Linked DNA regions of Arabidopsis thaliana. The protein of the gene in region 4 interacts with the protein of the main gene of each other region in a biochemical or structural test. Each region holds a gene or a part of one and is shown on either strand. Other genes may lie near its edges. The genes, in order: PP2CA, EEL, RBOH F and OST1.

Region 1 (4,581 bases), on a different chromosome or scaffold from region 4:
TATAAAAACATGATTGAATAGAATAAGATTTTATTATCTGGTCATTGTGGCAACTGGCAAGTGGCTAGTAATGGACGGTTAAAAGTATGTATTATTTTTTGTTCAAGTTGATATTAATTTATTTATAAAAGAATGTGAAGATCATATTCCTTTTTCTTACCCTCCTAGTTGATATTTTCTAGTCAATTTAATCAAAATCTGTTTAATTGATTATTGATTCCGACCTTAACTGACATTAAGCATTCGACAATGTTGCCAGACAAGTCTCTTAACTTAACTATCTTCATTAGTATTAAAAGAATTAATAAATCATTGTACTTTCTAGTTCTTATATTGATTGTCCAGATTAGTCTCTTCCACCAAGATATATATATATTTTTGTTGATTTATGTTTCTAATATTATCCTTGAATCTTTTAATTACAATTATGTGCTAAAATGCCGCGGTCTACGACACGCGAGTCTCCCATACGACCCCATACCAATAAAATAAATAAAATCTTCTTAAGATAGGGGAAGATTAGTAAGTAACCGGTTTGGATTCAAATCATCGTCGAGACTCATACTAAACCAGTTCGGATCGAATAACATTAACCGAAGTTTTAAAATGGTAAATACGCATAATCTGTTCTTTCATTTTAACATTTTTCCCCTCTGAATTAGATTATTACATTTCCAACGACCATACTAAAAGAATACATGTATAATATTACCTGAATAGAAAAATAAGAAAAATACTCAAACTATTTAATCAGCTCTTTTTCTTCCCCAGCCTGAATTAAGAGCTAACTAAAATAGAAAAGAAAAAACACCTTAAAATGAGAAAAACTAAAATAGAAAAATAAAAAGAATACAATTACAATTAGGCTATGTAACAATTATTCTAATACTACTACTAATTATAACACTAATTATTAAGACGACGCTTGATTATTCCTCCTCTTCCTCAAGTCAACCACAACGACGCTCACGTTATCGGAGCTCTGTCTTGCTAGAGCCAACTTTGTTAAGAGCAACGCCGCATCGGAGCACGCATTGTGCGCCGCATCTGAGTCGTCACCCGCACCAGCACCTCGAAGGCACATGCGAGCCACGCCACACGCCGTCTCGTTTGGTACAACATCCCATAGTCCATCACTCGCCAAGATCAAACACTCATCCTCATCAGTTCGATCCGTCACTGTTACCTCCGGATCCGGAATCACATACGGTTTCAAGTAATTATCACCTATACAAACAAAAACAATAATCATCAGATTAAATTCAAACGTGTAATTCAAAATAGCCTAAAAAGTCAAATCACAAGAGAGATTCACTCACCAATTGCTCTAGACATGGCAAGAACTCCAAGAACCCTAGCTCCATCCCAATATATAACTCGCCCACCAGCTTGTTGGATCCGAATCAATTCATCGGGTCGATCCGGCTGTTCATCACAAAACAAAAACTCTTAGAACCATGCCATCTTGATTCATACTAACCAATTCGTAATTCTATATAAGACATAATTTTAACTACCTTGTGATCTACGGAGAGAGGAATGGCTACACCGTTACGACAAAGCACAGCCCGTGAATCACCGCAATTAGAAACAATGATCTTCTCCGGCGTGACAACCGATACAACAGCGGTGGATCCGACGGCGTCACACTGAGGAGACTGCAATTCACATCTACAAGAATTTTTCATACTCCGAGTAGCACCATTAACAACTAAGTTACACTCTCGTTGGCTAACTTCTTTATCCATTTTTTGAAAACTCTTAACCATCGTCTCTGTCCACTCGTCGGAAGCCATAACTTCAACTTCCTTCTTCACTATATCATGCAACCGTTCTCTGCACTTCTCCGCAACCTAAAATCAACCAAACAAAACCCTAATTAGTAACTAATCACAAACAAAAGAAAAAAATATTACTAAACAGAGGAAATTAACGTACATGAGAGCAGCCATGGCCGTCAAAGACACCGTAGAAATGATGATTCTCAGAGTTCCGTTGAAGAAACGAAGGATGAATCGAGACAGCGTCTTCCATGTCTCGTCTTCTACCACAAACCGACGTCGTACCGATCTTAGGTACATCGGAAAAGAAACTCTCTGCTTCCGTAACAGAATTTGAATTCGTAACCGCTGATCTAGCCTTCTTATTCTCACTCCTCACATTCGAATCCAGATCTAGATTTCCCGGTAACGTCGAGAGCACTACTGTCTCACGCTTCTGCCGTTTACGGCAGTTTTCAAGCGGAGGAGCAACGGCGGAGTCAGCAACAATTTTGATCGACGGAAGTAGATCTAACCTCCGTCTAAGAGAAGCTCGAGAAGTTGAATCAACCGGTGCCGCCGGTTCAGTCTCTCCAACAACACCGCAACAAATCCCAGCCATTTGATCTCTAACAAAACTTCTCCAATTTACAGAGCAAACCAAAAACAAACAATCTCCGATTATGAGTCTTCTTCAACAATAGAGAGAGAGAGAGAGAGATATTAGTAGAGAGAGATTTTGTTGAGCGTTAGGAAATGCAATGTGATTTTAAAAAGAAAAGGTTTGATTTAAAAAGAAAAGTTGAAGAAGAACGCAAAAAAAAAAAAGGGTTTGATTTTCGCATGGAAGGGTTACACGTAATTAACGGGCAGGGGGGCATGAATAAGGGGAAGTTGCTGACCGTCAGCATCAACGGGCAGGATCCGACACGTACCGTTTGGTGTGACGTTCCATTTCCTGGTACCTAGATACAATCTAAACCGTCCATTCTTTCTTTTTTCCTAGATCTATACACGTGCCCTTTCTTTCTTTTGGATACGCCGTTAACGTGGCCCAATCACAGTTCGACACACCTTAACGGTAACGACCGGCCTTTCTTGACACGCATGTGGTCCACTCTTTCGTTTTGTTCTTTTTTTCTTTTATTTTGTTTCATTTAAATACGCTTAATACAGTATTATGCTGTTAATTAAGATTTAAATAAGTCAGAGGTCAAAATAATGGCCATGGGAGAGAGACAATCTTGTTATAAAATACTGGTTTTAATTATTTTGTCAACTTTTTTATAAATCAGAATAATCACTATGAGATTAATGTAATCGATAAAATCTCTGATAGTAGAAAATTATACAGTATGAGAAAATGTAAACCCCTTCTTTTTCTAGTTATGGAATCCTGAATGGTGAATACTCTGATAGTCTGATTGGTAATGCCAAACAGAATGATAGGTCAGCCCCACTACCCTTAAAACATATAAGAAAAATCTAGTAATATATACGATATGGTTCATATCATTTCACAAACCTAAGCAACATCAATAATACATTTGAATGTTTCCTGTGTTATTTTAAATATTGAACAAACCCGCTTCAATTTGTACAAAAGCGATGCCTCTGAACGTACTATCAAGTATAAATTTGCTTCTAAAATAACGCATCGTGAATCCGTTCCGTGATTACATATTAATCGAGGATATAATTGACATCCAAACTAAAGAAAATTTGCTTCAGAAATAACAATTTTGATCCTATTTGTACAAGAAATAACAAATATATATATCGTAAAAGGTTGATTGTATTGAATTGCCAAAGAGACTATTTGTACAAGAGATGTTGCCTAAAAGAAGATAGAAACGTATCTAACTGAATCTAGGAGAAGAGAAGATTAACATATATTCTAACTCTGATATTATTTCACACATGCAATTTGAAATGTTTAAACAATAAGAGTATATTTATGCTTGAAATTCTGAAATGCACATAAACGAAAATAAATTGGAAAATAGTTACGTGTATCTGATGAGTTCAAACCTCAGCATCAAACACTTCTTTTTTGGTTTTGAATAATTAAAGGTGGGCATTTGGGTTAAGTTCGGGTAAAACCCGATTAGATATGATTTTTTTGGATATAAAAGTTTAAGATTCAATGGGATAAATCCAAAATATCGGTTTGGTTTAAGTTTGTATCCAATCGGTTTTTAATCGGTTTGGATATAAATTTTCAGGGTCCTTTTAGAACCGATATCCGAATTTTTGAGTAAATACCTGAATTTTTGGATAAAATTTTAGATTTCGAATAAATTTAGATTTTCGAATAAAATACCGGTATTTTCGGATTCGACTTAGATTTTTTGGATTAAAAAATTTAGGATCCAATATAGTAAATCTTCGGGTTCAAGTTTAATTTCGAACCCAATATAATAAATCTTCGGCTTTGGTTTTTTTTCTAGTCCTAGTTTTGATGTTAGAATTTCATAACTTGGAAAACGATTAAAACCTACACCACAATCCATAATTACATATAGAAGACTTTATACTATCAATCATCTGAGTCATCTGACTACAAAGGTTTCATCTCATTCACACGCATTGTCCATGCTTGAGATATTTTGGTTTCGTATTGATTGATTACAAGATTTATTTATTTATTTGTTCATGATTCCTTCTATGCTTAGTCGATATAGGTGTTGCATACTCGACACGTGGTAATGTTCGTCCTCCCACTTGTGCTTGGTTTCACTTACATCACCGATTCCACAGTCCATGAAAAGGTGTCTACAATCACGTCTTTAAAAACACGTCGTCGTCTTTTGTTTATTGC
Region 2 (5,223 bases), on a different chromosome or scaffold from region 4:
CCTTCCGGGCATTTACCAAATCGCCTGCACGAACATACCCATTGATGAGTATGTTAGATGACATATAATTCTTCTTACGCATACGTCCATATACTGCAACAGCGGAAGGAAAATCTCCAAGCTTGGAGTACATGCTCATCAGATGATTGCATATGAACTTGTCGGAGGAGAATCCGGAGACGACGAGAAGACAATGGAGCTGCTTTCCGGACGGAAGAGATTGTCTGGTGGTGCATGATTGAATAAAAGGGGTGAAGAGAGAAGTGTTTGTGAAGATGTTGAGTCGGAATCTCTGGAAAGCTTCTCGAAGGTTACCCTTTGAGCACAAAGTAGCTATGGCTGTCGCAGGATCTACTGATAGTGGACGAACAACAGAGGAAACTGAGCAACGCATTTACTATTGAATTGCCGGAGATTGTTTCCGATTTGGATTCTCAGGGACTGTCGTTGCTCGAAGAAGAAGAAGGAACGAATAATTAGACACTCGATTTAATTGGGCCGTAATCAGAAGCCCAATAAGTATTAGTAACCAAGTATCAAAAACGGTTTAGCATAACCATCAATCTATTGCTTAATTGTGTAAGGTACTAAAACTATTGTCGAATTCATACTTGAACTAGTGTTTGTACTCAAAAAGTTTGAACTAGCTGCAAAAGAGGAATACACTCAAGAAATGTTTATAAAGACATGCTGTTCAAAGTCAATAAAGTCTACACAATATACAAAGAACAAAGCGGTCTGATATAAACCAACACAAAGAAGAAGAAAGAAAGAAGAGTCTTTAGGATCAGAGAGAAGCAGAGTTTGTTCGCCGGAGCTTCCACTTAGGATCTGGTGGTGGTTCACTTGGTAGGATCTTCTCCACCTCCTGCCATTATAATCAGATTAAAGAAAACCACTAAATCTAAAACGACACTAGATCATGAAGCAAGCTGCAGAGATGGGATTTTTACCTTTAGCCTCCGAAGTTTTTCGTTTTCTTCTTCTAACCTTGAAACCTTGATCTCTAATTCATGTGTATAAGCCTGCAAGTTTCAATGTGATGACTAGACCAACTAACAACAAACAAACAAATATTAACTAAGTAAAAACACAATGTCAAGTTCTTAACCTGTTTCCTAGCTCGTGAACGTGCTGCAGATTCTCTGTTCTTGATCATCCTCTTCTGTCTCCTCTCAACAGTCTTCTCCACAATCTCTCCAGCTACTCTTTTCCTCCCAGGCGCTTGTGGTGTATCCGATAATCCACCCATCATCACCATATCTTGCATCTCGCAAACCGGATATGTCATAAACCCTTGTTGTTGTTGAGGCTGATGATGATACTCAACCCATTGCCCATTTGAAGCTATGTTAACAACATTTTCTTGAGGGACTACTGTCTCAGTCACTACACCAGCTCTCAACAACAAATCCTCAAGTGTTATTTCACCGAGTGTAGGCTGCTTATGAGTAGTAGTAGTACTAGTACCGTTTCCATTCTTGTCCTGTTGGATATCTCTCCAGACCTCATCAACTGTCTTTTTACTGAGATCTCGAGGTAACGTCAAGCTTCCCTGACGAACAAGCCCTTCCTCAGCTGGTGGCAAGACAGTCTTGAGAAGCTCATCAAGGTTCATGCTTCCTAGTGGTTTTCCAGAACTTCCTAAGTGGGTTTGAACCTCATGGAGCTTTAAGCTATAGAGAGAGTTCTGCCTCGTTAATGACTGAGATATAGGCTCTTCAATGTTTCCTCTAATAGAACCCATATATGTAGCCTTTACACAGAAAACAATAACAATTTAGTAATCCTGGTTCAATCTAAACAACTAAAAAATCGAGAATCTCTAAGGTACTAACAAACAATCAGGGAATTTGCATGCAGTATTCGAGTGCTTAAAAACGCAGATAACAACTCAACTAGAGAAATGAGAGGTGGCAGGAGATTGTGAATAAGGGAACAAAAGTTTAAGGATGATGTTGAAAGTGGCTTCAAGTTTCAAAAAAGGAGATTAAGAAGGAGTAGATCGAGAAAAAGAGAGAAAGGAGCTTGGGTTCTCTCTGTCCAAGTGGTGGGTCTGAGACAAATCTTTGGTATGAGTAGAGAGATTATAAAACCAAACATACATGCTCTCTTCTCTTCTCTCTCTCTCTCTCTATCTCCTGAGTTTCTCCACAGGAGAGAAATAGTAGAAAGAGAAAGAGAAATAGTAGAAAGAGAGCTTATTTTGCCTTAGAAACTGTTACACTCGAACTTTAAACTGTGCCTCTGAGGACATTTCAATTAAAAGCTACTTTCTTTTAGAATAAACACAAACAAACAAAAAACAATAGTGTCCGTACTTATGATCATATATGAAAGTATTAACTTATGAACGCTTTTGAAAGTAAGTTTATTCCCTACGAATAATAAACCTAATATTCGAATCTTACAAAAAATCAAAAACATTGTGCAAGGTTATTATATAATCACTTTAGATTTGTTACATCACTTTCTCTAAAAAGACTTGTCATTCTCAAACATAAGTTTCCCAAAGTGAGTTTCTTATATGAAAAAGTGAGAATGGGAAGTAACCAAGAAGGTGTTATTGGAAAATAAACCAAAACCAAAAAATTATGATAAAAAAGATTCGTTGTATAATGGTAAAAAAAGGAGTAAAATGAGAAAAGAAGAAAGAGGAGGGGGACAAAGGGAGAAAGGGACCACATGGGAGAATCGGGGAGCTTTGCATGAAGATCCGCGTGTGCTTCCTCTTTGGGATGTTCTCCCACGTGTTTCTGTTTCCCTTTTCTCTTTCTTTATTACTCTCCTTTCTTCTTCTTATCATACAACATCAAAATGTCAAAGACTCTACTTCCTTGTATAGATTTGTCCTCAATCTGAGCAAACCCACACAGAGCATACCCTTGAACTATGTGTGGCAGCTTGATCCTGTCACATAGAGAACAAGAACATACACTCTATCTGGCTGTACCAACTTAGGTCTCCTAAGAATCAAGTGTTCAAATAGCTTCATAAGTTATCAATAACATAAGGGCCTAGAGGGCAACTAGGTAGAACCTTAGCACTTAGCATTAGAGAATGACTAAGTAGATACTCTGGTTCCTATAAACTAAGCTCTGATTCAACATACAAAAGAAACAGTTCAAACCGAGAAGCACGCTTGTGTAAGAACTTAACACCATCAATTCAATGTTCTATAGTTAATACAAATCTTCACAATGCAAACAGTTATACTCACCTTTAACTGGGAAGACATTTCAGAGCTCCCATGATGCCACAGCAAAACACCAATTCCAGCTGTGTTACCAAACTCGGTGTTATTCTAAGGCACATTACCAAATTTTTTGAGATGTGGTCAAATGGAAAGCTCATTCAAAGCTATAGAAACAGTAGAGAACTCCAAGGACACACAAGAAACAAGCTGCTCTAAATCAAGTCAAAAACTTGACATGTGCAGGTCAAGACTTGTTGATACTTATTAGTACAAAACAAAACAAGTTGCTCTTTTGGATTCAGGTAGATGCCTAGCTAAGTTAAACAAGAAAACAACTTTTGCTTAATTCGTTCTTTAGTTATAAAGCTACCAATTCATAGATTCATCCCTTTTCACTTTTCAGTATATATAAAAGAAAAAGCAGATAGGTGGCATTCAAATATTTGGTACCCCATAGATTTTTGTTGGGCGTAAGTGTTGACCGTTCAGCTTGCTCTTAAATTACCTGCAAGAGGAATAAGGATTAAGCAGATATAATATGTGGTAATCAAGATAAGCCGTTATGTACATATGCATAGTGATGTGTGATCATACTCTCACAAGGTCAAAATCTTAAGAGGAATTACGTGCATGGAAAAATTCCACAAAACCGCGAAACATAGCGAGAACCAATAAAAACGAGTCTGATTAAGAGAAAATGGAAAATACGGATTCAAACATAGTGAAAGCGTTTGTGTGTCCATGAGGAACACTGTTTAAGTTTTACAAATGAAAACGTTCCCAAAAGTTTAAAACAGAAACGATAGTTGTTAAATCAGAACAGTGTATTTGGGATATCATAAAAAGAGTTGAGAAAACAAGTAGGGGAAAACTAAAACTTCTTGAAAGGTTTGAAGAGTCATGTATTTTGAAGACACGAAAGAGTAACATTTCATCCAAAAACTAAACAACTCCATTTGCATCAGCTCCTTAATAACTTCAGAAGATTCACCAGGCCAATTTTAAAAAGTACTGTATTGGAATATCTGCACAATGAATTAAGAAATTAAGAGAAGACTTTTATAAACTGATGCAAAACCTAACACCCTTCAGAAACACAACAAAGTCACAGGAACTTTGAAAACAAAATGATCTTGCAACGCAAAAAGTTTAACATAATGGAGTAACCATGAAAAGGTCAAAATACAGCAAGTCCATGTCTTGAAATACACAAGGGAACCAAGCGAACTACAAAAAAAGTCTTCTGATACAGAACATCAATGAAATAGATGAAAAGAAGCTGAAAATAATTACCTGAGTGGCTAATCTAACGACCCATGTAAGGACCACCATACCCAGCACCATGCTGCCCTCTTCCCGCACCGCCCTGACCAGGTTGCTGAGTCTGATAACCGCCCTGGTACCCGGCTTGAGCACCGTACCCAGGATAGACCCCAGGTGAGATATTTGCTTGAGTACCATAGCCACTTGGCATTCCACCTACAGCTCCTGGGCTAGCTGTCCCTAATGTCCCCAACAAAGCCTGCCCAAATGCTTGGTTTAAACCCAACCCAGCACCCTGAGATGCCAGCAAAGCTGTGAGGGCCTGGCCAATGGCCGGATTAAACGCCTGCACAGCTTGGTTATTACCAGCTATGAAATGTCCATGGCCTCCAGGGGCACCATAACCATTGTTGTCGTTCCTTTGGTAACGGGAATTTTGATTGTGAGAGTTATGGTTATGTTGATGTTGCTTAACCTGTTTTGGCCCATCATTTGCTTTGTGGCAATGCAAGACATGGCCTTCAAAAGTCTTGTGTGGCTCCTCCAATGCCTTCTTGGCACTTTCTAGGGATCTATAGACAAACAAAGCGAAACCTTTAGGTCTCCCAGTAGCTTTATCAAGCCCCAAAGGACCTTCTTCTATCTCCCCAAACCTTGAGAAAAACTCCAGCAACTTCTGCGGATCAATGTCTGCACTAACGTTACTGACATAAATCTTCCTCTGAACATTCTCAGGATTGAAATGCTGAGCAGGAGCCACAACA
Region 3 (7,704 bases), on a different chromosome or scaffold from region 4:
AACGTATATGTTTTTTAAAAATGAGATTAGTTACGTTTGAAAATCAAATCTTTTCACATTTCACTTTCATACTTGGAGTTTTTGTTTTGTTTTATAACTTGTGTATTTACTACTACAACTGTTTGCACAACATAACATTGAATTGAAATCTTTATATATTAAAATGAAAACACTCAACCCCTTAAAATAGAAATGGTTCACATTCGAGTTTGGTTATTATTTTCTGATAACTGAATTAGATGCCGAACCAAAACCATACAAATTTCCGAGAGATGTAGAATGATGGGCATTTTAATCGTACCAAACAGAACCGAACCAAACCAAACAACCGAACCGTAGTGACGTAGTCTACATCTAACCCATTTGGTTAAACTTTTTTCAACCCTAATGGTTCGGTTTGAACCATTAACCCTAACTGTTTTTTAATTTATAATTAATTTCGTTAGGTAGATAATATTACATGCTTGATTTTGGTTATTTATCAAAACTAAGTTTACTTAGTTCTTTCAATCCTTAAATCTCTAATTCTAAGCTACAATTTTATAAGGTATGGAAAAAACTATTCATATCTCATTTCTATTCCGTTACTTTTCAAAAATTTCAAGTTTTTTTTGACTAAGAAAAGATTTTATAAAAAAAATATGGCTAATAACCACAACGTTTTTCTTGAGTATTATTATTAATAGACTAAACAAATACAAATAAAGTTTACCCCACTCGAATATAAATATTTTTGAGGAAATGTATCTACTATCTTCTTAAACAACGTCGTGTCATTACTCAAAAGTGTCCAACGGGCAATACAAGATTATGATGGACGACCCATGATTAAACATGTTCGATCTAATCTAAAATCTTTTTAGTCTATATTAGTGAAGCACTGAAAACAAAATGTTGTTATCAAATTTGATTTGTTCTTGTTAACAATAAATTCTTTTCAAAAGTGAGCAAAATATTTGTAGTCGTGGACTTAACAACAATACATCAATCGCTAATAAAACACTGGCTTCCACAAATGATGTATAAAAACTATATTCAAAGTCGTCGTCCTTGTTTTTTCTCTCATCAGTTCACAAACAAGCTCAACTTTGGATAAAACGCGTCGGACGTACGAAAAAAAGAAGACTTGCAGAGAAACAACAGTCACACACACAATCACCTCAGATTTAAAAATATTCCTTTGGTATTACTTGAACTAACGTCATCCGAGTTGTTTCTATATATATGTACATATATTCTTTACATGTTATTTATAGCTAATTGGAAGTTTTTAGTGCTTATTGCTAGCTACTAATTAATAACGAGTTTAATTCTAATGAAAATTGGACACAAAATCTGATACTAAGTTGCCTATATAAGATTAGAAATTTAAACTAATAACAGTTACATATATACAAAATCGTGTTGTACCTCATATAATTATGGTGCATTTGAATAAGATATCTATTGAAAAATATATAATGAAAAATTAAATTGGTACTCTAATCAAAAAAAAAAAAAATCTTTAACACATCAAATGTTCAATTTTTTTAAAAGTCCAAATCGTTTTGATATTGTTTTTTATTGAAGAGCAAACTACTATAAGAAAAATATTTGAAGAAACATAGCATTTTCCCATGCATAAACTAGAATGACCAACAAAGATACTCTCAAAGTCTCACTTGTCTAAAAAACAGATAAAAATCATTTCCAATTTTGAGAAAAGGAAAAAAAACAACTCCAATAATACTTTTTGATTTTCTTTTCGTTGCATTAAAATAAATGTGGCAAAAATCCAATAATATTACTATTATAAGTTAAAAAAACTCAAAAAAAAAAAAAAGTATATTCCGTCAACTTTTTCTCAGTCCGGTTCAATCATCTCCATCATCGTTGATCTCTCTCTCTCCGTCAACGTTCTCTCTATAAAGCAGAGAGTTTCACAGCGCGTGAAAAATGGCTTTTCCCACTTAGCCACAACGACGCGTTTCAATTCTCCATCTCTCCCTCTCTCTCTCTCTTTCTTCAAAGATTCCACCAACCTATACATATACTTATATATAATCTATGCTACGTGTATATACTTCCGATATCCTTCAACCAACTCTTTGAATTCCGACTTTGGATCTATGAAACCGTTCTCAAAGAACGATCGGCGACGGTGGTCATTTGATTCAGTTTCCGCCGGAAAAACCGCCGTCGGAAGTGCATCAACTTCACCGGGAACTGAATACTCCATTAACGGTGATCAAGAGTTCGTTGAAGTCACAATCGATCTTCAAGACGATGACACAATCGTTCTTCGTAGCGTCGAGCCAGCAACCGCCATTAATGTCATCGGAGATATCTCCGACGACAACACCGGAATAATGACTCCGGTTTCGATTTCGAGATCTCCGACGATGAAACGAACTTCATCTAATCGGTTCCGACAATTCTCACAAGAGCTTAAAGCCGAAGCTGTGGCGAAAGCGAAACAGTTATCTCAGGAGTTGAAACGATTCTCATGGTCTCGTTCTTTCTCAGGTAACTTAACCACTACTAGTACCGCCGCTAATCAAAGCGGCGGTGCTGGTGGTGGTTTGGTGAACTCGGCTTTAGAAGCGCGAGCGTTGCGAAAGCAACGTGCTCAGTTAGATCGGACTCGGTCTAGTGCTCAAAGAGCTCTTCGTGGTTTGAGATTCATTAGCAATAAGCAAAAGAACGTTGATGGTTGGAACGATGTTCAATCAAATTTCGAAAAATTCGAAAAAAATGGTTACATCTATCGCTCCGATTTCGCTCAATGCATAGGTTCGTAAAAACTCTAGAAGAAACTCTAGAGATTTCGAAATTTACTCAAATCTTGATTTGTGTTTTTTTTGTTGTTGTTGTTGACAGGAATGAAAGATTCGAAAGAATTTGCATTGGAACTGTTCGATGCATTGAGTAGAAGAAGAAGATTAAAAGTAGAGAAAATCAATCACGATGAGCTTTATGAGTATTGGTCACAAATCAACGACGAGAGTTTTGATTCTCGTCTCCAGATCTTCTTCGACATGTACGTAACAGAAAAAGTTACTTAAACTTAATAATTACTTTAATTTAATTACTCTCTTAATCATATTTTTACTGATAATCAATGATTATTTTAGAAAGGTTTCTAACAGTCATTTTACTATAAAGAGATCCCATATTTTCAGCGTTTTTCCAGATCAGTCTTCCTAATTAATTAAACAGTCTAGTAATTTAATTTGATGCATGTGTGCAGAAATTATTGTTCCTTACGATGCGTATGTTTTAATTTTTGTAACTATTGTTTTTAAATATAAACCTTTGACTTTCATTGAAGATAATTAATTACATAATTAATCATTTTTACAGAGTGGACAAGAATGAAGATGGGAGAATTACAGAAGAGGAAGTAAAAGAGGTAATTAAATGCTAGCTAACTAACACAATTAGTGTTATCAATTCTGTCACTATTTAATTAAACATAAATTAATGTCATATTTTTTCGTTAAGGTTTAAGAATAAAATATAAACTGGGACTGGTAGTCAAAATAGATTTTTTAAATTTATAATCAAAGTTAGGCGGGGATTTGGTGACCTTAAATCTCATGAAATGCTGATATACTAACCACTCCATTTAAATTTTAAAAATATCAAAGAACCAAAATACGAATTTTCTTGTCATTGATTTGAGTTTAAACCATGTTCGTTTAGATTCTTATCTGTAACTAAGTTTTCAATTATGCTGAAATATGTTATTGTTTAATTAGTTTTGACTAATAATCAACTTGTTTTAATATAATCTAATATTTGACGGTGACACAAGATACAATAGAGATGTTTTACTTAACATTTTTTGAAGAAAAAAATCCTTCTTATCGTTATGCTTTTTTGTATTTTCTTTGAATATGTTAGATAATAATGTTGAGTGCATCTGCAAATAAGCTATCAAGATTAAAGGAACAAGCAGAGGAATATGCAGCTTTGATTATGGAAGAGTTAGATCCTGAAAGACTTGGCTACATAGAGGTTGGTTTTAATACACACTGTACAAATCTTTGAATCTTTTTCCACCATCACATGCTTTGTTTCCGTGCTTGCATGATGTGAGTATTATATTATTGCAAAATATTTTCAATACTTTCGTTACCCAAACGGAATAAAGTATGTAAAACCGCCGCCCATAAATAGGAATTCAATAATTCTTTTATATAATGTATGACCTCACATGTTATAAGAAAAAAGGAGCCAATTTCTTTTACTATAGCATTAAATTATTTCATGTTTGCTTTTTTTCTACTCTTATCTCATTTTGCTGACACCTAGAATAGTTGTCCATTATAAAGTATAGATTCAGTAGCTCAAATATAGTATAAAAACTTTTTTTTTTTCTATTTCATCAACTCAATGGTAGGTGAAGTAGTTACAATAGACTATTTCAATTGCTAGCTAGAAGATAGAGTTTGAAAAGAAAAAAAAAACATGTGACTGCTACATCTTGAATGTTATATTTATCTATAGAAGTTAAATGATTCATCAAGGCAAATATTTCATACATTTTAATGCTCTTTTATTTTCTTCTTGTGTAGCTATGGCAACTAGAGACTTTGCTTCTACAAAAAGACACATACCTCAATTACAGTCAAGCATTGAGCTATACGAGCCAAGCATTGAGCCAAAACCTTCAAGGGTTAAGGGGAAAGAGTCGAATACATAGAATGAGTTCGGATTTCGTCTACATTATGCAAGAGAATTGGAAAAGGATATGGGTTTTATCCTTATGGATCATGATCATGATCGGATTATTCTTGTGGAAATTCTTCCAATACAAGCAAAAAGATGCATTTCATGTGATGGGATATTGTTTACTCACAGCCAAAGGAGCAGCTGAAACACTTAAATTCAACATGGCTCTAATACTTTTCCCAGTTTGCAGAAACACCATTACTTGGCTTAGATCCACAAGACTCTCTTACTTCGTTCCTTTTGATGATAATATCAACTTCCACAAGGTTAGTGAGCTATAAACCTTTTTGTTTGTTTGTTTTTTACTTTTGATTTCTACTTTTTAGGGTCCCATAAGAACTTTCTTTTCGTGCTTCTATAGAAGTCAAAACCAATACTAATTAGAGATACAAAATCCTCATCGAACGCAATGTGCTGTCAAAAAAGCTGAGATTGTTGTGGGGCTCATATTCTTTGTGCACGCACTGGAACATTGACATGACAGCTAAACAGCTATTTCGCTTTCTCTTTTTTTTTTTTTTTTTGGTTCTCTCTTTCTCATTTCTTACATTTTTTTGCCACTAAAGAAAAGTGAATAAGATTAAGGCATGTGGAATTTAGGTTTGGTTAGGAAAGTCTTATACGGAATTAGAGCTGAACTTTTAATTCAGTTTGAAATTTTTTGTCTCTATGTTGCAAAAAAAACAACTTCATATACAGCTGTTTTGAATAAAATTTTGAAAAGCTATACCGAATTAAAATCAATTTTTTTTGTTTAGTTCGAATAAAATTAGTCTGGTTTTCTTATATGGTTTGGTTCGGTTTTGCACCAAAGATAACTTCACATGCAAATTTTTATTTTCTAATTCAGTTAAGTACATTACATATAGTAAGATTGGTTTTGGTATATTTAAATAACAAATTAAATTTTTCATTAGTTGCAGTTTATTTGGTTTGCTTTGGTTGTATAAGCTTGGTTTCAGTAAATAAACTAAGATTAATTTTGGTTTGGTCTTGGTTTTGGTTTTAGAAATGCTCACCTTTAAAAGTGAAGGTTGTGTTGTAGTGGGGAAAAAATTCTTATTTGATCATTTTAAACTTTCATAAAGTAAGAAACCAATGCTCTACTCACTAAACTATTTTGATAGAAAATTTTAACTCACTGCTCTTTTTTTTGGTTTTTTTGTTATGTGCAGACAATTGCTGGAGCCATTGTAGTAGCTGTGATCCTTCATATTGGAGACCATCTTGCTTGTGATTTCCCTAGAATTGTTAGAGCCACCGAATACGATTACAATCGGTATCTGTTTCATTACTTTCAAACAAAACAGCCAACATACTTCGACCTCGTTAAGGGACCTGAAGGAATCACTGGGATTTTAATGGTCATTTTGATGATTATTTCATTCACATTAGCAACAAGATGGTTTAGGCGTAACCTAGTCAAGCTTCCTAAGCCATTTGATCGACTAACCGGTTTTAACGCCTTTTGGTATTCGCATCATTTGTTCGTCATTGTTTATATCTTGCTTATTCTTCATGGTATCTTCCTCTATTTCGCCAAGCCTTGGTATGTTCGTACGGTAAGTCTCCATGATTCTAAGCTTAGTAATTGTTGACCATATATAATCTTGATTTTGATTTTGAGATGTTGTTTTTTGCAGACATGGATGTATCTTGCAGTACCAGTTTTACTCTATGGTGGAGAAAGAACACTTAGGTACTTCCGTTCTGGTTCTTATTCGGTTCGACTGCTTAAGGTAAGTGAAAAACAAAAACTAAAACAGAGGACTCTGTTTTCTTTACTTTCTCATTGTCTTGTAGAATAAGCTAACTTCTTTTGATTTTTCCTTGTAGGTTGCTATATATCCTGGTAATGTTCTAACGCTACAAATGTCGAAACCAACTCAATTTCGTTACAAAAGCGGACAATACATGTTTGTCCAATGTCCTGCGGTTTCGCCATTCGAGTGGTAAGAATTATTCATAACAGTTTTTGATACCAACCAAATCATCTGTCTTACTGATTTGTATTTCGTTTTAGGCATCCATTCTCAATTACTTCCGCACCTGAAGATGATTATATCAGCATTCACATTAGACAACTTGGTGATTGGACTCAAGAACTCAAAAGAGTATTCTCTGAAGTTTGTGAGCCACCGGTTGGCGGTAAAAGCGGACTTCTCAGAGCCGACGAAACAACAAAGAAAAGGTATAACACGAAAACAAAACCAAACACTTATAAATTAACCAAATGCTGATATGTTTAGTTAAATGTTGTTTCAGTTTGCCAAAGCTATTGATAGATGGACCGTACGGTGCACCAGCACAAGATTATAGGAAATATGATGTTCTCTTATTAGTTGGTCTTGGCATTGGTGCAACTCCATTTATCAGTATCTTGAAAGATTTGCTTAACAACATTGTTAAAATGGAAGAGCATGCGGTAATAAACCAAGTCTTATCTTATTCTCTCTTGTGCAGACAAATAAATAAAGATGTCAAGTTTGATAAAAATGTTTTTACGTCTTCAGGATTCGATCTCGGATTTCAGTAGATCATCAGAATACAGCACAGGAAGCAACGGTGACACGCCAAGACGAAAGAGAATACTAAAAACCACAAATGCTTATTTCTACTGGGTCACAAGAGAACAAGGCTCTTTTGATTGGTTCAAAGGTGTCATGAACGAAGTTGCAGAACTTGACCAACGGGTAATAAACAAACTCAAAACATTTCTTGACAGACACAATCAAAATTTTCCCGAGAAGATTCAATGTGAGAAAATCAAAAAAAAAAATTGTGTGGAACAGGGTGTGATAGAGATGCATAACTATTTAACAAGTGTGTATGAAGAAGGTGATGCTCGTTCTGCTCTCATTACAATGGTTCAAGCTCTTAATCATGCCAAAAATGGTGTCGACATTGTCTCTGGCACTAGGGTACGTTACTTTCTTCTTAAGTCGTGATTCTTTTGATTTCCTAACACGGTCCCCAAATTATAAATTG
Region 4 (5,406 bases):
CATCTATAACTCAAAATCATTCACGTTGTGTTACAGTACAAGAGACACTGTCACATAGGTCGACCAACCATGCATGCTTCCATTTTCTTAATAAAAACGTTGCAAATTGTAACTGCTTGTTTTCTTCTTCCTTTTTTTAAAAAAATTAAAAACATTGAGTATTTTTTAAAGTAGGAATAATATTAATTTCAATGAACAAGAACAACTATCAAGTACTGGTTCATTATCAATTTATTATTCGAAAAATATTTAGAAAAGAAAAAAAACGAAGATGCGTGAATAAGCATCTTTTTTAATTTAAAGCGAATTACCGTACGTATGTCCTTCTGAACATATAACATGCATATTAAATTATTAATGAATGTGTTCCATCTACATTTATGCTGTTTTTGTATTTTTTGTGAAAATGGGAATATCATCTTATTTCCATATAGTTCAAGTCTTCAAGATATGCCCCATCTATTTACTTCAGTTTGATATTATCAAGTACCCACTTTAATCTGTATAGTACTACAGAATATCGATTTCTTTATCTTTTGCATAGCCTATATGTTGTTTAGTTGTCAACTTCTCCAAATTAGTTTAACAATTTTGTTTCTAGTATTATTAGAAAAACAAACAAAAAATACTAGAGAGAGTAGATAAAATACTGATTGATGAAAATGTTTTTTTTTTTTTTTTTCACTTTTGTTTAGAAATTTAGTCTTTTGCATATCAAAGATTCAAAGTGTACTCATTGAGACAAAGTTGGGCCAACTCAATAGCAAGCAAAACATCTTAATCTTATTCTTCAACATTTTTTGTTTGACATTTTTGTAGCAGAAACCATGCAAATAGATATATAGTATCACATTGCGTACACAATCTCTCCGCTACTGTCGATGTCAAGATCATCAAGGTCGCTCTCTAAGTCTTCCTCCATATCGTCATCTATGTCCAAGCTTCCTGTTTATCCATTAATGATAAGTTTTTCAAACATTGAGAAGCATTAAAAAAGACAAGAAATCGAAAAGTTTATGTTTTGTGTTGTCTCACCTGTGAGGTAATGGTTCAGATTCTGAGTGCCTGCAGGAGGAACAGTTGCTTCTGCAATGATCTGCATAATTTCTTCTATGCTTTGGCCCGGTTGATCCGATTCATCAAACTGAGTGGTCATCGTGTTATCGTTCATTAGATCTGCCGGTAGATTCTTTAGAAACCATTCATGGTTCCTTATTTCAGGAATTGATATCCTCTGCCAAGAAACCAACCAAGAGGGCCAAAATGCAAAGTTCTCTTTTCAGTCATACTATAAAGAAAATTCACAAATAAATCAACAAATGCAGCTTTCATGATCCTTCCTTTACCTTTGCAGGGTCAGCAACAAATATTCTGGAGATCAAATGGCGACATTCAGGAGATATGTGAACATAATCCGGAATAGCATACTGAACATTCAGGATTCTCTGAGCAAATATTTTCACAAGAGAACAGATAGTTTAGCTAGCAAGTAATAAAATCCATAATTACATTTTTCAACTATTGAAGCATGAAGAAAGTGAAAGGCTCACATGTATAGTTTTCCTGAAATTCTTTGGTTCCTCGGGATCTTCGAAAGGATATGCTCCAACCAGCATGACATACAGAGTAACCCCACAAGACCAAACATCTGCAACCTGAAAAAAAAGAAGAACATTAGGATGCATTTGACTAATTCAACCAAAACTCAAGAATTATCAGTTTACAAATCAGACTCTTAATAGCTTTCTTCACCAAAATTCTTGAAGAGCCAAGATTGTTTTATTTGTGTGAGCTTTCATCAAGAGAAAGCATGTTTCCCCTATCTATAATCAGAGGATAAAAATACAAAGATTGTTCTTTCTATAAGATATGGTTATCATACTAGTTTGGGAACTATGAAAATGGAGTACCTTTCCATCATATTCTTTCTTTAGTAAAACCTCAGGAGCGATGTAAGCAGGAGTTCCAACAGTTGATTTTGGTTGCGAATGTAACACTGATGACTGAAAAAGAAAACACAAAGCTTAGAGATACTAACTAACTCAGAGTTTCTGAAATGTTTTCAAAGATACCTTAGAATATCCGAAATCACATATCTTTAGACGAGGGGCCGGGCTACCATCTAATAACGTATTCTCGAGCTTTAAGTCTCGGTGACATACTTGCTACAACATAAAATTTAACTTCTTAAGTCAGCTGAATTTCACAGAGGATGAAGCATTGATTTGATAGAGAGCATTTTTCATTACCATAGCATGACAGTAACTAACTCCTGAAATGAGTTGCTGGAAGAAAAACCTCGCCTACATGATAGTAAACGATATATTAGCCTCAGCATTTTGAATCTTCGATTAATCATCAAAGCAAGAAAAAAAAGAGAGAACAACCTCGTCTTCGCTGAAGCGGCCTGCATTGCAGATTCGCTCGAAAAGTTCTCCTCCAGATGCATATTCCATAACAATGGCTAAATGGGTTGGTGTTAATATAACCTGAAGCAATCCTAAGGATTAAATTATAGAATTCCTTTTTTTTCCTGAAAATGTTAATAATAAGAAAACAGCTTAAAAGAGAGTTGAAAACAAACCTCTTTGAATCTAACGATATTGGGATGTCTTAAGGACCTGTGGTTGATTATCTCCCTTTTTACATTTTCATCTATCTGTACAAATACAAAAAGTCCCACCATTAATACCACGTTCCATAACAAAAGAAACACCTAGAGCCTTTAAAACAACACTATACAACATAAGTCATAAAGCAAAGCAGAGCAAATTTGGTCTTCCATAAAAATCAATCAATTTTGTAAATCTATAGGGTTAAACCATTCATAACCATAAAGTAACCAAACACACATCTCTCATTGGATGATGAACACACAAAAATGATTTCTTTTGAATTCAAGAACCTAGTGAATTGAAACATAAAATAAAATTGGACTAAGGAGAAAAAACAAGAAGAAAATAAACTGACCTTCTCACCTCTCTCGATATATTTAACAGCAACAAGCTCATTACTTTGCTTGTCTCTCATCAATCTCGCAACTCCAAAATTACCGGAGCCAATATCCTTGACGAGTTCATACCTATCACTATCGTGCATAATCGGCAAATCCATTGGACCACTCACTGCTGGTCGATCCATTTTCTCCCCCTCTTTCCTCTGTCTCTTTGCGACTTCAATCTCTGTGTCAAGAAGATTTCTTTTTTGGGAGACAATATCTAACGACACCAAGACATCAGAGGAAATGAACAACGGTGTGACGTGGATGAATTTGAGCCTTTAAGATGAGAAAAGGAGTATTGGGTGATCAAGTTATGGTTGTGAGAAAGAGACGTTTTCAGAGACCCGTGAAGTATCTAACCAACAACACAAGTGGGTTTCTTGAGATCCTTTTTGTTCCTTTGATCGCTCTCGATGAAGAAGAAGAAGAAGAAGGAAGGCTCGTGATCTTGAACTCTGTTTCTCTCTCTCTGTCTCTCTCTCTATCAGCTTTCCTTTTCTCTGTCAATATAAAAAGGAAACAGCTTTCTCTGTTCTGTTTAAACCACAGCTTGAAGTAAGCTATACAAAACAGAAAGATGAGAGAGATAGAAGAAGTTTTCGCTTTTTCTGTGAACTGTTGAATTGTGATTTGTCAAAGCATGGGAGATAGTTTGAAATGACGGATTTACCCTTTCTACTTACAACGTTCTGACAAACAATGGGGCCTGTAGTTTTTAGAAATGTTTTTTTTTACCGTGACTAGTATAGAAAATAATATTTTAATTAGTATAAACTTTCTTTTTATTGGCAAAGTATTAGTATAAACTATGTGATTTGTTACTCTTTATTTTTCAGTAAGTTTTATCTCTCCATAATATTATGCATTAATTTTTTCCGATTTATTATATGTCTTATTGTAAATAGTATAGCAAAAAATATGAAAATATTAATTGATTAAATTTATGCCTAGAACAGTTACTAAAAATATCTAAGTTTTCAAAAATATAGCACTAGAATGGTATGAGATTTAAAATAACAGATTTTGAATTGATTTTATATCCCAATTTAATTTAATCAAACACAGTGAAAAATGAAATAGAAATAATTTAAATTAACAATTAGTTTTTCTGTTAGTGGATCTATATATTAATATCGTAATATGTCCCTTACATATGTACATTTTTGGCTACTGGATTAATTTTGCCCCTTAAATATGTCCTGAAACGGAGCTGATGAAACATATACTCGCATTAAACAAGCTTATGGCTAATCATGGGAACCTCCATGTATTAATGACCACTAAAAAGATTTACTTTCTATTTCGGTATATAAAAAGGGTTTCCGCATTTAAAAACGGAAAATAAAAGAAAAACAAGTTACCACAAATGTCGAGATATTGTTGGCTAGCTTGTCAGATCTTCACCTAAAAGCTGAAACCGATAGAGTTGCACTCATCATCACTATAGCCCATCATTTTTACTATCTAAAGTTTTTGTTTATGCGCATCCACATGACGATTTTGCTGCAAACTTTTTTTTTAATCATCTTTTAAAAACATATATCCGTACTTAATATTCCCAATACACTCTTCTAGAGCTCGATCATTCCATGGACGTGAACATTTTGTCTTTGTTTCTCTTCCCTTTAGTCAAACAAACATTTTGTCCTTGTTTCAAACTAAAATCGATTTCTTCTAAATAAAGGAAATTCATTGACTAAACGAATGATTTTAGTGAATGAATGAAAATTTCTCATTGTGAAGCCTCTGTTTCTCTATTTACTTTTTTACTATTTAGAGTACCTTTCACCGAAATTTTCAATCAATTCCTTTCAATTTTACTACATGTTCAAGCATTCGAACAAAAGCAATCGTTGCAAAAAAGACTAGATCGGAATGCCTTCTACCCAAAAGAGAGAACTCAATGCAAACTGTTTATGAAATTTTTGAAAAAAAAAACTGGATTCATTCCGGTTGTTGCGAGTACCAACCAATGGAGAAAGATTGACCTTAGTTATTGTAGTTATCAAGGCCAAGGTCTCTCAGTGCATCAGTTGCAGCGGCTCTGCATGTCTCATTGTTGGCTTTAGCAGTTCTTATCAGCTTCTCGATTCCATTAGCAAGCAGAATAGTTCTGTAGTGTGCATGCAGACAGAACTTGATATTATAAAAGAGTTTGCGATATGTGCATATTGTTGGATGACAAGAATTGGAAACAGAGCAAAAACCTGTTCTCTGCACTTCTGACAGCAATGTTCCGTATCATGTTGCAAGCGTTTCTCTGCATTTGAGCAGCTACTGGGAACCTCTTCATTGCTTGGACCGCTAGATCACCAGCTCCAGCTTCTATAGCCTTGGCTGCGTGGTCTGGTGATCTCAGACAGATTATAGAGATTATCAACATCACCTGAACCAATCAAGTATAT

The links.
Region 1: of the proteins of OST1 (region 4) and PP2CA, one has a biochemical effect on the other in vitro, tested with the Arabidopsis thaliana proteins (one study listed by BioGRID).
Region 2: of the proteins of OST1 (region 4) and EEL, one has a biochemical effect on the other in vitro, tested with the Arabidopsis thaliana proteins (one study listed by BioGRID).
Region 3: of the proteins of OST1 (region 4) and RBOH F, one has a biochemical effect on the other in vitro, tested with the Arabidopsis thaliana proteins (one study listed by BioGRID).

The regions. Positions count from the first base shown.
Region 1 is NC_003074.8:3,583,268-3,587,848, forward strand, and holds PP2CA (protein phosphatase 2CA), read right to left. Parts: upstream 2,584-4,581; 5' UTR 2,383-2,583; coding exon 1,939-2,382; intron 1,854-1,938; coding exon 1,518-1,853; intron 1,426-1,517; coding exon 1,320-1,425; intron 1,228-1,319; coding exon 914-1,227; 3' UTR 515-913; downstream 1-514. UniProt on the Arabidopsis thaliana protein: Major negative regulator of abscisic acid (ABA) responses during seed germination and cold acclimation. Confers insensitivity to ABA.
Region 2 is NC_003071.7:17,127,773-17,132,995, reverse strand, and holds EEL (Basic-leucine zipper (bZIP) transcription factor family protein), read right to left. Parts: upstream 3,244-5,223; 5' UTR 3,239-3,243; coding exon 3,221-3,238; exon of another isoform or gene 2,427-3,220; intron 2,223-2,426; exon of another isoform or gene 1,757-2,222; coding exon 1,112-1,756; intron 1,026-1,111; coding exon 954-1,025; coding exon of another isoform or gene 921-953; exon of another isoform or gene 906-920; intron 869-905; coding exon 788-868; 3' UTR 610-787; downstream 1-609. Other genes in the region: AT2G41080 (pentatricopeptide (PPR) repeat protein), read right to left, coding at 1-394; AT2G41060 (RNA-binding (RRM/RBD/RNP motifs) family protein), read right to left, coding at 4,503-5,223. UniProt on the Arabidopsis thaliana protein: Binds to the embryo specification element and the ABA-responsive element (ABRE) of the Dc3 gene promoter and to the ABRE of the Em1 gene promoter. Could participate in abscisic acid-regulated gene expression during seed development.
Region 3 is NC_003070.9:23,768,158-23,775,861, forward strand, and holds the start of RBOH F (respiratory burst oxidase protein F), read left to right. Parts: upstream 1-1,616; 5' UTR 1,617-2,108; coding exon 2,109-2,772; intron 2,773-2,859; coding exon 2,860-3,019; intron 3,020-3,342; coding exon 3,343-3,391; intron 3,392-3,885; coding exon 3,886-3,999; intron 4,000-4,559; coding exon 4,560-4,982; intron 4,983-5,891; coding exon 5,892-6,278; intron 6,279-6,359; coding exon 6,360-6,455; intron 6,456-6,552; coding exon 6,553-6,668; intron 6,669-6,739; coding exon 6,740-6,907; intron 6,908-6,981; coding exon 6,982-7,141; intron 7,142-7,229; coding exon 7,230-7,409; intron 7,410-7,508; coding exon 7,509-7,637; intron 7,638-7,704.
Region 4 is NC_003075.7:16,270,099-16,275,504, reverse strand, and holds OST1 (Protein kinase superfamily protein), read right to left. Parts: upstream 3,761-5,406; 5' UTR 3,142-3,760; coding exon 2,971-3,141; intron 2,660-2,970; coding exon 2,585-2,659; intron 2,490-2,584; coding exon 2,388-2,489; intron 2,304-2,387; coding exon 2,250-2,303; intron 2,166-2,249; coding exon 2,073-2,165; intron 2,004-2,072; coding exon 1,911-2,003; intron 1,656-1,910; coding exon 1,551-1,655; intron 1,446-1,550; coding exon 1,347-1,445; intron 1,235-1,346; coding exon 1,036-1,234; coding exon of another isoform or gene 989-1,035; exon of another isoform or gene 946-988; coding exon 848-945; 3' UTR 680-847; downstream 1-679. Other genes in the region: AT4G33945 (ARM repeat superfamily protein), read right to left, coding at 4,991-5,114, 5,209-5,387.